2 linked regions of the Caenorhabditis elegans genome follow. The protein of the gene in region 2 purifies or fractionates together with the protein of the main gene of each other region. This does not show direct contact. Each region holds a gene or a part of one and is shown on either strand. Other genes may lie near its edges. The genes, in order: F21D9.1 and wshc-2.

Region 1 (7,980 bases), on a different chromosome or scaffold from region 2:
TGTCAAAATTCAATTTCCGATCACGAGCACTCCGGTATAAAAATCAGGGGGCGAGGGGGGCGCCCCCCATAACAGCCCTAATGATGAGTAAACGGGCGGCAAGACCCTTCCGCATAAATTTGCTTCCCTTTAAACCATGGAAGTGAAAAAACAAATGCCATGTAACCGATTTTCCCAACGAAAATGCCAACTTACTCGATGTTGCTTCTGCCATTGGAATTTTCAAGTATTGATTTTTGAAATCTCTCCAGATTCATCAAAATTATCCACATCAGCGTTTCACTTTGACAAAGGTCACGTGCCATTATTGTAATTTTTGTGCAAAGTTTTAGTTAACAGGCGTGTCATTTTTACGTGATAAAATGTAATTTATTCTGTTTTTTGTTTTTTTTTACTTTGAGCAAATTATTCGATATAAAAATATTTCCTCGAACACATGAAAAATCTCAGTTTTTTAAATCAAATAACTGAAAAAAACAGCGCTTTTCAACTGTTGATTCCAGAATTATTCAGAAGTTTCTCGTAACTTTTAGAGAATGCATAAAAAAAAAGAAAAGTGTACAAACAGAATATTTGATTAGATTTCCGTATTTCCACATGTTTCAATGCCATTTTCCTGTCATTTTTCAATGTCATTTTTCCTGTAATTTCACAAAACTATAAAATATTTTTTCACATAAAAATAGTAATACTTTTGATAAAACTATAGATTCAAGGTCTCACTCAATTTCAATTTTTCTTTTCATTTTGTATACTAAAATAATTGATTTGAAAAAAATAATTTCAATCTCCTTAAGATATTTTTCTCAGAGATTTAAGATTGGAATTTTCGTGTCACAACTCTGCAACCATAAAAGAACTGAAATGTATTAAAACAAAAAATTGTTCCTCATGTTATGAGGCTAATTTGCTTAGTTAACAATTTTTTGTTAGTTTTTTCAGTCAACGAGCTACGGGCTTCCAAACATAACAAAGTCGAAAACCGCCACAAACCGCAATGCCTTAAAATTTATATAACTCAGGCAATTGCTAACCAAATCTCGTTATTGATGTTTCGATATCTTCTTTGAACAACTTGTAAAAATTGTAAGGCGGTAGTTATTTGATAAAATTTGTTGGTTTTCCGTAAAATACCGTTAACCTTTCAAAAATGCCTATTTTTGGCTATTTTTGATGGTTTCAGGCCTAAATCTTGTTTTGGAAACTCCGGAGTCACTTTTTTTTTCAAAAAAACTGTATTGTCAAATAAAAGAGTATTGTCACTTAATGACCGGAAAAAAATTCTCCACAATTATAAGGCGGCTATTTTTTTTTAATTTGTAAAAAATCGGTCCAGAAAACTCACTGTCTCGCCCATGAGAGACGCAGAGACAGTTAATCACTTTATTTAGTTTAATTTTTGAATTAAAGAGAGGCTGTGAAATTTTTCATTTTCCGTAAATCTTGTCTCAATGTTTTCTTGTTTCTCCGATGTCCATTTTATTCATATTATCAACTTTTCGATTTCCGAAAAAAAATCGAAACATTTATTTTTTTTCAAACAATATCTAAAAACCTAAAAATCGCTTTGTTTATTAAAGGTGGGGTCAAAATGACCGAATATCATGATTAAAAAAATTTAAAAAAATTTTCTAGATTTTATATGATTTTTTAAAAATTGAAAAAATCTCAGTTTTCCCATAATTCCTATTTAAATTTCCGCCAATTGAACTCGTTCGTTGGAGCACGCTTGCATTATTTTCGTTAATTTTTAACCATTTATTTTCATTATTTCACTGATTGTCTTCATTTTTTGGGGTTTTTAATGGGAAAATGAAAGAAATTAACAAGAAAAATGCAAAATGTCTATTAAAAAGTAACTGAAAATGTCTAAAACTCTGAATAATAGTACCTTCTTGTTAATTTCTTTCATTTTCCCATTAAAAACCCCAAAAAATGAAGAAAATCAGTGAAATAATGAGAATAAATGAAAATAATTAATGAAAATAATGCAAGCGCGCTCCAACGAACGAGTTCAATTGGCGGAAATTTAAATAGGAAATAGGGGAAAACTGAGATTTTTTTCAATTTTCAAAAAATCATATAAAATCTAGAAAATTTTTTTAAATTTTTTTTACTATGATATTCGGTCATTGTGGTACCATAGGCGTGTTTTAAAGCAATTTCCCCACAGGGTGTAGTCCACCTTTAAGTGTAGAAATATCGAATCCCAAAATCGATATTAATTTTTGCCAGGCCAAAAACGCACAATGCAAACAAAGTGAATAGTGGCACCATCTGTTACATTGCAGCTGCCTGAAATTAATATCGATCTTTTTTATTTCAAATACTACTAGTATCATTACTAGTATTTTTCTACTGTAAACTGTGAATTTCAAATGCATATTTCCAAATTACTAGGCACCTTATATTTCCGGATAACATTCAAGGTAGGCAAACATATATGTTATTAGTTAATCTGGTTTTTTTTAGGAAAAACCATTCAAAATACTCAATCTACCGCTTGTTGTTTTGAAAAACGTGATGAATCAAATGAATATTCGTTCAATGTAAGTTTGAATCATTAAAACTTTTGGAACAAAACTAATAGTCTCGGCTAATTTTTAAAGGTGGAGTAGCGCCAGTTGGGGAATTGTTAAAAACCTCTTCTTTGGTCCCAAAATGTCCAAATATCATGATAAAACTTTTCCAAAAGTTTTTGAAAATTTTTTATTTGCTGTCAAAAAGTAGCAATTACTCAGTTTTTGCCACTCATAATTTTGGAAGTTGACCGAAAAAAAATTTTTTTCGATATTTTTTATGTTTTAATTTTGTTCAAATTATTTGTATTAAACCATTGTAGGGGTTGAAACATGCGACATTTCTTTAAATTTCCTCAAATGCTCGTATTTTTCAAAATTTTGGCAATTTGCCAAAACTTTGGCCGGAAATTTTGAAAAATCTAAAATTTTTTGGGGTATTTTATTATGATATTCGGTCGTTTTGAATCACTATAAGTGCAATTAGACAAAATCCCCACTGGCGCTACTCCACCTTTAAAATCCAGTGTGTGATGTGACTTCAAAGTTTTCCGAGCTTGAAAAACGGCAAATTCAGCAAATTTTGCCGCATATCTCTGTTATGTATCCCGTTTCTTTTCAGTTTCAAACTATCGAAGACATCAAAAAAGATGTACAAAAAATTGAGATACGCCAAAAGGAACATATACAAGTTAGTTATCGACAATCACTTCGAATATGACGTTGGAAACAACTTTCCTCTACTATACCAAAGAATCATAATATTCGAAAAAAAGAACGACTTTGTGTCCGTCTATCGTGCAATGTGTAAGAAAAAGTCTTCAGATCCATCAACTTTAGCCAAATACAGTGTGCATTTCTGGGTAGAGTGGTTTTAGTGAGTTTTTATAATTTTTTAAAGGTCGAGTGCCAAAATGCGGGAAATACTTCTAAATTACTTCAAATTTTCCCCTGATTCCGAATATCTATTTGAGAAACTTCAAGAAAATTTTCCTGATTTTTTATTTCAGCATAAAATCGCTTGTGCACCAATGAGTTTTTACAAATGCGCGCCTAAAGAAATTTTCATTGGAGCGCACTTGCTTTGGGTCGATTTACGGGAGCGCTCCATGTTTCTCCTGCGTCACGTGATGTCAGAGTGTCACATTTCGGTTTGATCTACAAGAATTGCGGGAGTTTATGCGCGTCTAGACACACATTTCTCAAGTGATTTCACATGGTTAAGAACATGCTGACGCACAGTCTCCTCGGCGTCGAATTGGGCTGGGGCGCACTTGCTGACACCTTGGCGCAGCCGGGGGAGGGAGTGAATTTATTTAGTGTTGAAAAATAAACTTCGTCGTTTTTTAGCGTTGAAACGAATTTTTTCGCAGAATTCGAACTTAACATTTGTTTATTAGCACAAAATGAAATGAAAGACCATTAAAAGAGAAAATTTGGTCAAAAACTGAAGGAGGAGAAGGGATATTAAAAAATCAACTGTAAAAATGGTGTTTCTCTGAAGATCTTGTATATTTCAAGTCACCCACCTTCGCAATCATCTTCTTTATCCTGAAGATAGTTATCAAAAGAAGCGGGCCTATAATTTTGGAATTCTAGTCTATTTTCCGCGTAATTTCGGAGAAATCCACAAAATGCGCCAGCAAAAACGCGCAACGCGCCAGTAAGCTGGTTTTTGTGCGCTTTCGATGACGAGGAGACTGTGTGACGTCACATTTTACTAGGCAAAAACTTCCCGCATTTTTTGTAGATCAAAACGCAATGGGACAGCCTGACACCACGTGGCTGCTTTTTTTTTCATTTTTTCAGCGTATTTCCTCTATTTTTGTCGATGTTTTGCCGGTTTTTTCGTGAACTAACAAAAAATAAATGTAGCATTTTATTAGCTCAAAACTCTCAAAATTGTATATTTTCAAGTCAGATCTCGACAAACACGGACTTCTGTTGAATTTTTGGGAGAAGAAAACACTGAAATCTTTTCGAAATCCAACTGAAGTCCGTGTTTTTCGAGATCGGACCTGATAAAATACAATTTTGGGAGTTTTGAGCAAAAAACTGGCACAACAAACAAAGGAACACGCTGAAAAAATGAAAACATTCAAAATTAAAAAAAGAGCTCCCGTAAATTGACACAAAGCAAGTGTGCTCTAATGAGAATTTTTGGGCGCGCATTCGAAAATATTAATGAGGATTTTCAAGCTCAAATGTAAAATCAGGGTAATTTCCTTGATATATCATACATAGATATTTTTCACACAGACAAAATGAAACTTTTCCAAATAAAATTTCAGCAAAATAGACAAATTCGGAGAAAGAAAACTTGTTAATTCGGTATACAAATATAGAAATGCGAAAAAATGTTGGAAACTCTTAACTCGATTCGATGAACTATTTTCAATCGACCACGTGGATTTGGTAATTGATAGGAGTAAACTTTTTCGGTTTCACACAACACTAGAACATCCATTATTTCGAAAATGTGATTATGTGGAGATTGTTAAAAGTTATTCGTATTTGACGAACAATGATATGCAATTTGTATTGAACAATTTCAATTTGAAAAATGGAATGCTGGTTAAATGTTTGTTTTGGAAGGATTTCAAACTGGAATTGGTGAGTTTAATATCCCTTACTAGACGATTGCCTCGAAACATACACTTGCCGGTTTGCCGATTTGCCGGAAATATCGAGTTCCGCCAATTTGCCGGTTTGCAGATTTTCCAATTCCAGATATTTGCTGGTTCGCCGATTTGTCGGAAATTCACAATTCTTGGCAAATTTCCGATTTGCCGATTCGCCAAAAATTTTCATTTTTGCCAATTTGCCGAATTGCCGGAAATTGTCATTTTCAGCAATTTGCCGGTTTGCCGGAAATTTCAATTCCGGCAATTTGCCGATTTGCCAAAAAAAAATAGTTTTTGGCAAATTCGGCAAATTTCAGATTTCCGGAAAAATATGCCGAATTACCGGACATTTCAATTCCGGCAATTCACCGATTTATCAGACAAATTCATTTTTTGGCGAATTCGACAAAGAGGGAAATTGCCGATTTGCCGGAAATTTTCAAATCTCGGAAATTTTCATTTTCGGCAACTTGACAATTTTCCGGAAATTTCAATTCCAGCAATTTGCCGATTTGTCAAAAAAAAATCGTTTTCCGGCAATATCGGCAAATTGTCAAATTACCGATTTTCCGGACATTTTCTATTTTTGGCAATGTATTTTCGGAAATTTGCCGGAAAATAATAGTTTTCCGGCAAGTTCGGCAAATCGACAGTCCGCTGATTTTCCGAAAAAAGTCGTTTGCCGCCTGCCATTTTTCCGCCAAATTGCCGGTTTGCCGATTTGCCGGAAATGTTCAATTCCGACAATTTTCCAATTTGCCTAAAAAAACTGTAATATCTCGAAGAAAAAAATTTCGAAAAAAAAAACCCAAAAACCTCTCTCCGTTTATTTCACTTTTAGAAAATATATTTGAAATTTTCATAGATTATTGGGTATTGAAGTTAGTCCTGTTTTTTCCTAGATCTAGCCAATAAAATAAGCATTACAGCTGTTCAAAATTCCTCGATTGGATATTTTCAATGCACAACAGTTCACACTAGATGTATTAATAAAAATGGATTGTAAGGTCATCAAATTATGGAAACATGAACTCGGACCACACCATATCAATCAATTTATTCATTTGTGGATGGCGGGAGCAATGCCCAATTTACGAAGACTTCGCTGCAACGACTTTTGTAGCCCTTGGCAGATGGATGAAATTCTCCGTGGCGTTGAACATTCGAAGTGGGATGGGGAACGTCGAGCAAGGATTTTTTGGTTAGTGGATTATTTTTTAAACAAAACAAACTATTAGTTTGGAGACTTCAGAATTTTCATGGCGTTTTGCAAAAAATTTTCAACTACTTCTTTCTTAAAAATTAGTTTACCGACAATTTTGTTTTGAAAATAATTTGGTTCACCTATAATTTTGTGCATTTGTTATCAGTTTATTCAGTTTATTTAAAGGTGGAGTAGTGCCAGCGGGAAAACTGCTTTAAAACACGCCTATGGTACCACAATGACCAAATATCATGATTAAAAAATTCAAAAAAATTTCCTAAATTTTATATGATTTTTTGAAAATTGGAAAAAATCTCAGTTTTTGCCTAATTCCTATTACCGCCAATTGGACTTGTTCGATGGAGCGCGCTTGCACGTTTTTAAATTTATTTATTTGATTTATTGTTATTTTTCACCGATTTTTAATGTTTTCGGTGTATTTTTGCTTGAATTTTAGATAAAAAGTCAAAATAAATGCAATTTTACGATTAAAAAGCAGAAATACAGGCGTAAAAATGAAAAAGTAAACGATTTCGAACCTGAATTAATTAATTTCCCAGATTTACGCTTGTAAATTAGGTTTTTAATCAAAAATTAGCATTTATCTTGACTTTTTCTCTAAAATTCGAGCAAAAATACACCGAAAACATTAAAAATTCGGTGGAAAATAACAAAAAATAAAATAAATAAATTTAAAAACGTGCAAGCGCGCCCCATCGAACAAATCCAATTGGCGGAAATTCAAATTGGAATTAGGCAAAAACTGAGATTTTTTAAATTTTCAAAAAATCATATAAAATTTAGAAAATTTTTTTGAATTTTTTTTATCATGATATTCGGTCATTGTGGTACCATAGGCATGTTTTAAAGCAATTTCCCCACTAACGCTACTCCACATTTAACATTTCATAAAAATAAAAATTCAGAGACTCTAGTCCAACTTTACTCCAAACGATACCTACTTTTCAGCGATGGAATTGAACGAATTAACTGTGGAATTGGAGACGATATCGTTCGAAATGATGGAGTACTTGCAACTGTGTTTTACATAAATAGATGTGTCGATTTTCTTGTATGGCATGACAACAAATTTTAATAAAATAAATAGAATATGCAGTGTATCATCATTACTTATATATAAAAAATACATTTCGTCTGTCGATAGTTTGTAGTCTATTTAGTCTTTGTAGTCTGAAAAGTTTTGGCTTTTGACTAGATATTGGTTTAGGGTTAGTGTGGTCGGGGTACTGAAGTAGTACTGTAGGCTAACTGTAGTTTTGGAAATATTGACTTTTCGTCTTTTGAAGAGATATTGGTTTGGGAGTTAGAAGGGGATATGGCTGTAGTACTGTAGTACTGTAGAGATATTGTAGGACTACTGTAGGATTACTGTAGTTTAAAAAAAGTGAGTTTTTGTCTTTTGACGTATCTTCGAACTTCTAGAATTTTTTTGGAAAATCTAGAATCTTATAGAGTTTCTGTTGACACTCCGTCTGAGAGGAAGCCAGGACCTCAGAGTGACAAATTGTGGACGACGAAGGAATGCGAAATGTAGGATGAGCAATGCGAGTTCATAACAGTACACAGTTCACGAAAATCCAAGTTTATTAGCAGGGCAGCATAGAGCTGGAAT
Region 2 (5,785 bases):
ATTTCACGAGAAAGATATACCCACTACTACGTCACAGCAAAAAACGGCTGCACGAATGAAGAGGAATTGAAAGTGGACAGACTGTGGACATCCGAGTGACCCAGTTCCCTCCTAGATAGTTTTTTTTCGCTTTCAACTCCGCCCACAAAAAAACAGTGCAAGTTGGTTCCGTGCAAACAATGACCTGTGCAACGGCTAGCACTGCGTGACACCCGATTAAATTCGCGTAGATGTTTTTTTTTTCTCTCTCTCTCTTTCGAATCGGATAAAAAAGAAATGGAACTTTTGTTCCACTTTTGATGGTATTTTATTGCGGTGACCTGGATTTTGCAACATGTGCATTCGAGGGTAAAGGAAGAAGGGAAATTTGAAAGAAACATTTGAAATGGGCATGTAAGTTAAGTTAAAGTTTGTCCAGCTATTCTATTTTTCAGGAAAAAAACTGCATATCTTTTACGAAAGCGATATCAAAACATCTTCGAAAGGACAGATTGAAAAGTGAAAAAAAGATAACCTAGTTTTTTTTTGAGACGGAAAAAAGTGACCACCAATTAAAAAAAAACTGTATCGATGCTGCATATGGGGTCACTTAACAAATGGGCTGCTGTTGCCAAAATAAAAACATAAAATTTATTAGGCATATGGTTTAACAAAAATAATGAATTATGCGGTATTTTTTTAGGTTCACGCTTCTAAAATTCATGAAATTAACATTCAAAAAACGGTTTAACTATCTCAAAAAATTCCCCCCCCCCCCTCTAAATTTTTACAGGCTTAAAAGAGGGAGGGTACCGAAATTCGGGCTTTGCTTTTTTAACTCAAATGGTCCAAAACTACCAAATTTCAAAATAAGACGTTCTGTTCTCAAAAAAAAGTTATGATTTGAAAGAAACGTTCATTTTTTAGCTAATATCTCAACTTTTTTGTAGCTTCCAAAAATGTATAGAAAGTGTGCCCGCATCGGCAAAAAAACATCTTAATTAACGAGATAACTATAAATTGTGAAGACATTAAAAGATAATAATTGAATGAAAATTAAGCTCCACACTGAAAAATTGCCCAGTTTTTCCAAAACTTTGAGCGGCACCATAACTTTTGGTTGAGAAATTTTCAGAACGTCTCATTCCAAAATTTGGTAGTTTTAAGCCATTTTGGGCCTAAAAAAAGCTACGTCTCAAATTTTTGTACTCCACCTTTGAACGATTACACTCGAATTCAGAGTTTTTGGGAATAGCTGGAAGTAAATTTTCGGTCGATTGGTGTGCTAATTTGTCAACTTTTGAGCACTTTTCAATCGAAAATGCACATAAAAGAGGAGTATCTACTTTGGGTTTTTTCTTTGTATAAACTCAAAATCTGCCTAAATGCACTAATTTCGTAATGAGAATTCTCAAAAGTGTCTCAAAAAAAATTTAATTTTTTTATAGAGGTGCAAAATTTCGAGAAAATTATGTCCTTATTTTTAACTTAAAACCCAAATTTTGCAAATAAGTCCGTGCCGCAAAGGTGAAAAATTTTTTTCTACTTCATTCTTTATTGCACATGTCAATCTCTTTTGAATACCTATTACTTAAATTTTAACTTAATCAACGAAATGTTGTAAGATAAACGACCAATTTGGCATTTTTTATAACTATATTTAGGTAACTTTTTTTTTCGGAAACCTTCCAACATCATGATGTAAGTTCAATTTTTTCTAACAATATTTTCACCTAATAACTTTGTTTTTTTTTCAACTGTTAACATACAAAAATCTTTAGAACTTATAGATTTTTTACATAGTTATAACGTTATTTCCAACATTCTCTGCAATATTTTTTCACATTTCCACAAGACTCCCATTCATCTTTTCTCACTGTGTGTCAGCCGCCTTCCCTTTTTTGCGTTATCTCGTTCTCTCCACCGCACTCTTTCGCAATGGGCAGCGGCAACACTGCACCGGTAGTACGTCAGCAACTACTCTCGAGAAATGCGCCAGCTGCGCACTTTTGTCTGTTTACACAATTGGTTATTATTATTTTTTTATCGGTTCTTGTTCATTACAATTTTTGAATAACTTTGATAGTTACTTATTTTTATTTCAGAATTTGGTAATTAATAGCCAAACGGGGAAAAATGCAACACAATGAGTGCCTTAACACAAATATTAATCCAAACTCATTGAAAGTCGATAAAGAGGTAAATATATTTTCATTTTCATGGTTTCATAATTCACTCAATCAATATTTCAGCTGACTCAAATGGCTCGTGACATATCAACAAGAATGAACCAAAGAATGACACAAGTCGAGCGTAAAGCCAATGATTTGGAAAAGTTTTCGAGACTTGTAGCATTACGAGTTAATAGTGCAGCATCACGGATGGCCAATCTTAAAAATCACAAAGCAGTTAGGCAGGTCAGCATTTTTTTTTAATTTTGAAGTCATTGGACCCAAAAATTTCAATTTAAGTACAAGCCTCCCACATACCTCATAAATTTTCCATTTTTTCAGGTTATTTCTACCCAAAACATTCCAAATTCTGAAGACATGCGGGTTGATAGCAGAAAAAGCAGCGGGTTCACTCAGGAATTTTTGGATTCTTACAAAAACGCAATTATCAATGCCGGAAACACTATGAACTTCCTGGTGAGTATTTTCATTCATCAAAAAACTTTTAAAAAATCTCTAACTCCAGGAAAATCCAACAGTCTTCACGTCCGGATATATTGGAGAGCAGTCTGAAACCAATGGTAATGCAAATGGACAAAGTGCCAGTAGACCACAAGCCAATAGGAATAGACAAAGAGCATCTAGCTCAGATGAAGATGAAGTTGTGGAGTCTAGTAGATCACGTGTGGAAATCGGAAATGGCGTAGAGCAGCCAAAAATCGATATAGGTCCACGGGTAGCACAAACCGTTGAGGAGCCGGTGACACTGGCAGGTGGGGTTTTTCAATTCGAAAATGATGTATCCAGGAAGTTACATTTTATAACTCATATTGAAAGTTCAAGGTAGGACAACGGAAAGAACGACGTTTTTCCGTTCATAAGCGGATACGAATTTGTTATCAAGCCTAAATCTTATGGAGTAGTGTCGGAAATTAAAAAAATGTAGAAAAATGATGTCACGTCTGAAAAACTTGTACTTCAATGTAGCTGTGACGTCATTTTTGTACACTTTCTTATTTTCCGACACTTCTTGAATAACCCTTTTACACAAAACGCCAATTCACAGGAACAATTTTTTAGCCACCCGCAACTTCTTCGCCAAACTTTTGCTACTTTCCCAACCAGCTTTATACATTTTTATTTTATTGAACTTTATTTCTTTATAAATACGAGAATATGCCCTGACATGAGAAATTCACAAAACTAAATTTGTTTTTTTCAGCTCCGCCACAGCCAAAGCCACCAAAACCATCTCCATCAACTACTGCCATCTTGGTAGATCAAGTCGGTCAAAATGGGATTCAACACTCACCTCAAGACGTACCGAAAGAAGTTGCTAGTATCACTTCACAAAACGAAAATAGCCTGGCAGAGCATCACAATGAGAAATTGGTATCCGAAAGTGCTATGCCAATTGAGAAGGGCCCAACGAGACCGGCGGCTATGGCTTCAGTGATTGGGGAAATGAAGAAAAAGGTTGCCGCAAAAGCCAAGCTTTTGGACTCTGATTCGGATACGGATCGTGAGCCGCTTGGTAGTAGTGAGACCGAATCGGTGACCGTTAAAAAACTGGAGACAAGCACGGTTGAAGTTGTGAAGACCAGTATTTCTGCTGATCCGGTGATTGTGATTGGCCATCCAAAAATTGAAGTCATCGCTGCAGTTGCAACGGTTGCAAAAACTGAAAAGCCAGCCGCTTCAAAGGTTGTTAAAATATTTATAACAATAAACTCGTAATGAAATTGTATTTCAGGTGCTTCCAAAAGCTGTGGCTACTCCTGTGAAACCGGCTGAAGCGACTCCAGCGAAACCAGACGAGTCTGCTCTGTCAAGAAAAATCTTAGCAAATGAGTTAAAGCCAGTGGACACTAAAAAGCTCGTGTCAAGCTTATTTGACTCCGACTCTGACTCGGACACGGACATCTTCAAGCCAACTACATCAATCAAGAAGCAGCCAACAGAAGTTGTCAAGAAATCGGTGCCACCCAAGCCTGTTGAGGTCAAGGTTAGTGAATAGAGTGAATAGTTGTTTGCTCAGCTTTATATTTCGCTCATCACGAAGCCACAATTTTTTTTCCGAAATGTCATGCTCCTATTTTCACAATGTTATATTTTACAGAAAGTAGAGACTCCAAAACCTTCTCAGCCACCTCAAGTCAAACCCACAAACCATACTGCTGTCCCAGCCACTAAACCAGTTGCGAAAAAATCTTTGTTCTCATCAGATTCGGACTCTGATGACGACTTTTTAAAGTCGTTCTCAAAATCAAAGCCTGTTGCTAAAACGGAATCCATTCCCGTTGTGAAGAAGCCTATTGAGCCAGTTGTTGTTCCAAAAGCTGTTGATATTCCAGCGGTAAGTTTTGTTCTAAATACACTGGACAGAGTATGTAAATTGCAGCCAAAACCAACACCTGTCACCAACACTACCGCAGTAATCCCCAAAGTAGAATTCAAAAAACCAGCCGCCAAGTCACTCTTTGATGATAGTGACTCTGACTCAGACTTGTTCTCTCTACCCACAAAACCGAAAACACCAATCGCTCCCAAAAACAGAAACTCGTCAATTGTCACTCAACCTGAAATGGTATGATTGATTTCTGAAAATACATATGATTAGCGTTTTTACTAGCTTTCAGGAACCCTCATCATCTGAACCAGCAAAACCAGCAAAACCATCAATTACCAAAAAAGAGCCACCAAGCGAAACAATGTCTGCAAAAATATCACTAATAGGAGACTTACAAAAATCATTCCGTCTCCCGGGTTCTACACCTAACATTCCTGTCAAAAACTTACCGGTTAGCGATGAAAATGATGTCGCTGCTGAGAATCCAGAAGATCACGTCGGTAGTATTTTGAAGGTAGTACATAGTCTGTTATTTGAAACACCAAGAAAACCTTTCAGAGTCGCTGCCGAGGTCCTTCAAACCGCCGTCCACCAACTCGTCCAAATGCGTCGTCGTCAAACTAGTTGAAATTTTTATAATGGGTCTAACATGTGAATAAATATATGAAGATTGTGAAAAGTTATGTAAAAATTGCTATATGAACATTTTACAATTTTTTTCTGGTGTGTAAATTGTCTCAAAATATCGAATTTTGTGAAAAGAACTTTTAAAATGTGGCCAACTAGAATCTAGAACTTCTAATGGCGCAATCTTTTTAGTGTTGTAGGTTCTGTGATTCAGATATATTTTTTGTCGATAGATAACTAGAGAAAACTAATTTCCGGCCGCTATGCCACAAAAGAGCTGGCAAAGTTTGAGGTTTCAAACTGCCAAAAAGCATTGCCAAGAACTTATTAAAAGGGCACATTAAAGAAAAAATTAGGTTTTGAATTTGACATTAGCAAGTCCTTTGAAGCTTTCACAAATCTTATGAATTCTCAAAAACTATTTATTAAAAAAAATACAATTTTTTAAATGTTTCAGAAATAACTTTATTTTTTTGTGTAATTTATTTTTCACAGTTGATTCAACAGTATTTATTTTTTTTGTACATGGAAGTTATGCGATGATGATCATGGGACAAATATCAATTATGGAATGAAGTGGATTGTGAGTTTTTGGTAAAAGTTTGCTGACATGAATTGTTTTACAATACGAAAGTAGCAAATAAAAAATAATTAAAAG

Evidence for each region.
Region 1: the proteins of wshc-2 (region 2) and F21D9.1 fractionate together in Caenorhabditis elegans (co-fractionation; one large-scale study listed by BioGRID). This does not show direct contact.

The regions. Positions count from the first base shown.
Region 1 is NC_003283.11:19,262,219-19,270,198, forward strand, and holds F21D9.1 (F-box domain-containing protein), read left to right. Parts: upstream 1-2,229; 5' UTR 2,230-2,378; coding exon 2,379-2,429; intron 2,430-2,472; coding exon 2,473-2,549; intron 2,550-3,141; coding exon 3,142-3,396; intron 3,397-4,810; coding exon 4,811-5,132; intron 5,133-6,072; coding exon 6,073-6,344; intron 6,345-7,316; coding exon 7,317-7,443; 3' UTR 7,444-7,461; downstream 7,462-7,980. Other genes in the region: F21D9.2 (uncharacterized protein), read right to left, coding at 196-214.
Region 2 is NC_003284.9:14,745,225-14,751,009, forward strand, and holds wshc-2 (WASH complex subunit FAM21), read left to right. Parts: upstream 1-2,078; 5' UTR 2,079-2,115; coding exon 2,116-2,178; intron 2,179-2,231; coding exon 2,232-2,396; intron 2,397-2,492; coding exon 2,493-2,627; intron 2,628-2,676; coding exon 2,677-2,923; intron 2,924-3,372; coding exon 3,373-3,854; intron 3,855-3,903; coding exon 3,904-4,155; intron 4,156-4,269; coding exon 4,270-4,506; intron 4,507-4,551; coding exon 4,552-4,737; intron 4,738-4,782; coding exon of another isoform or gene 4,783-4,789; coding exon 4,790-5,014; intron 5,015-5,058; coding exon 5,059-5,124; 3' UTR 5,125-5,218; downstream 5,219-5,785.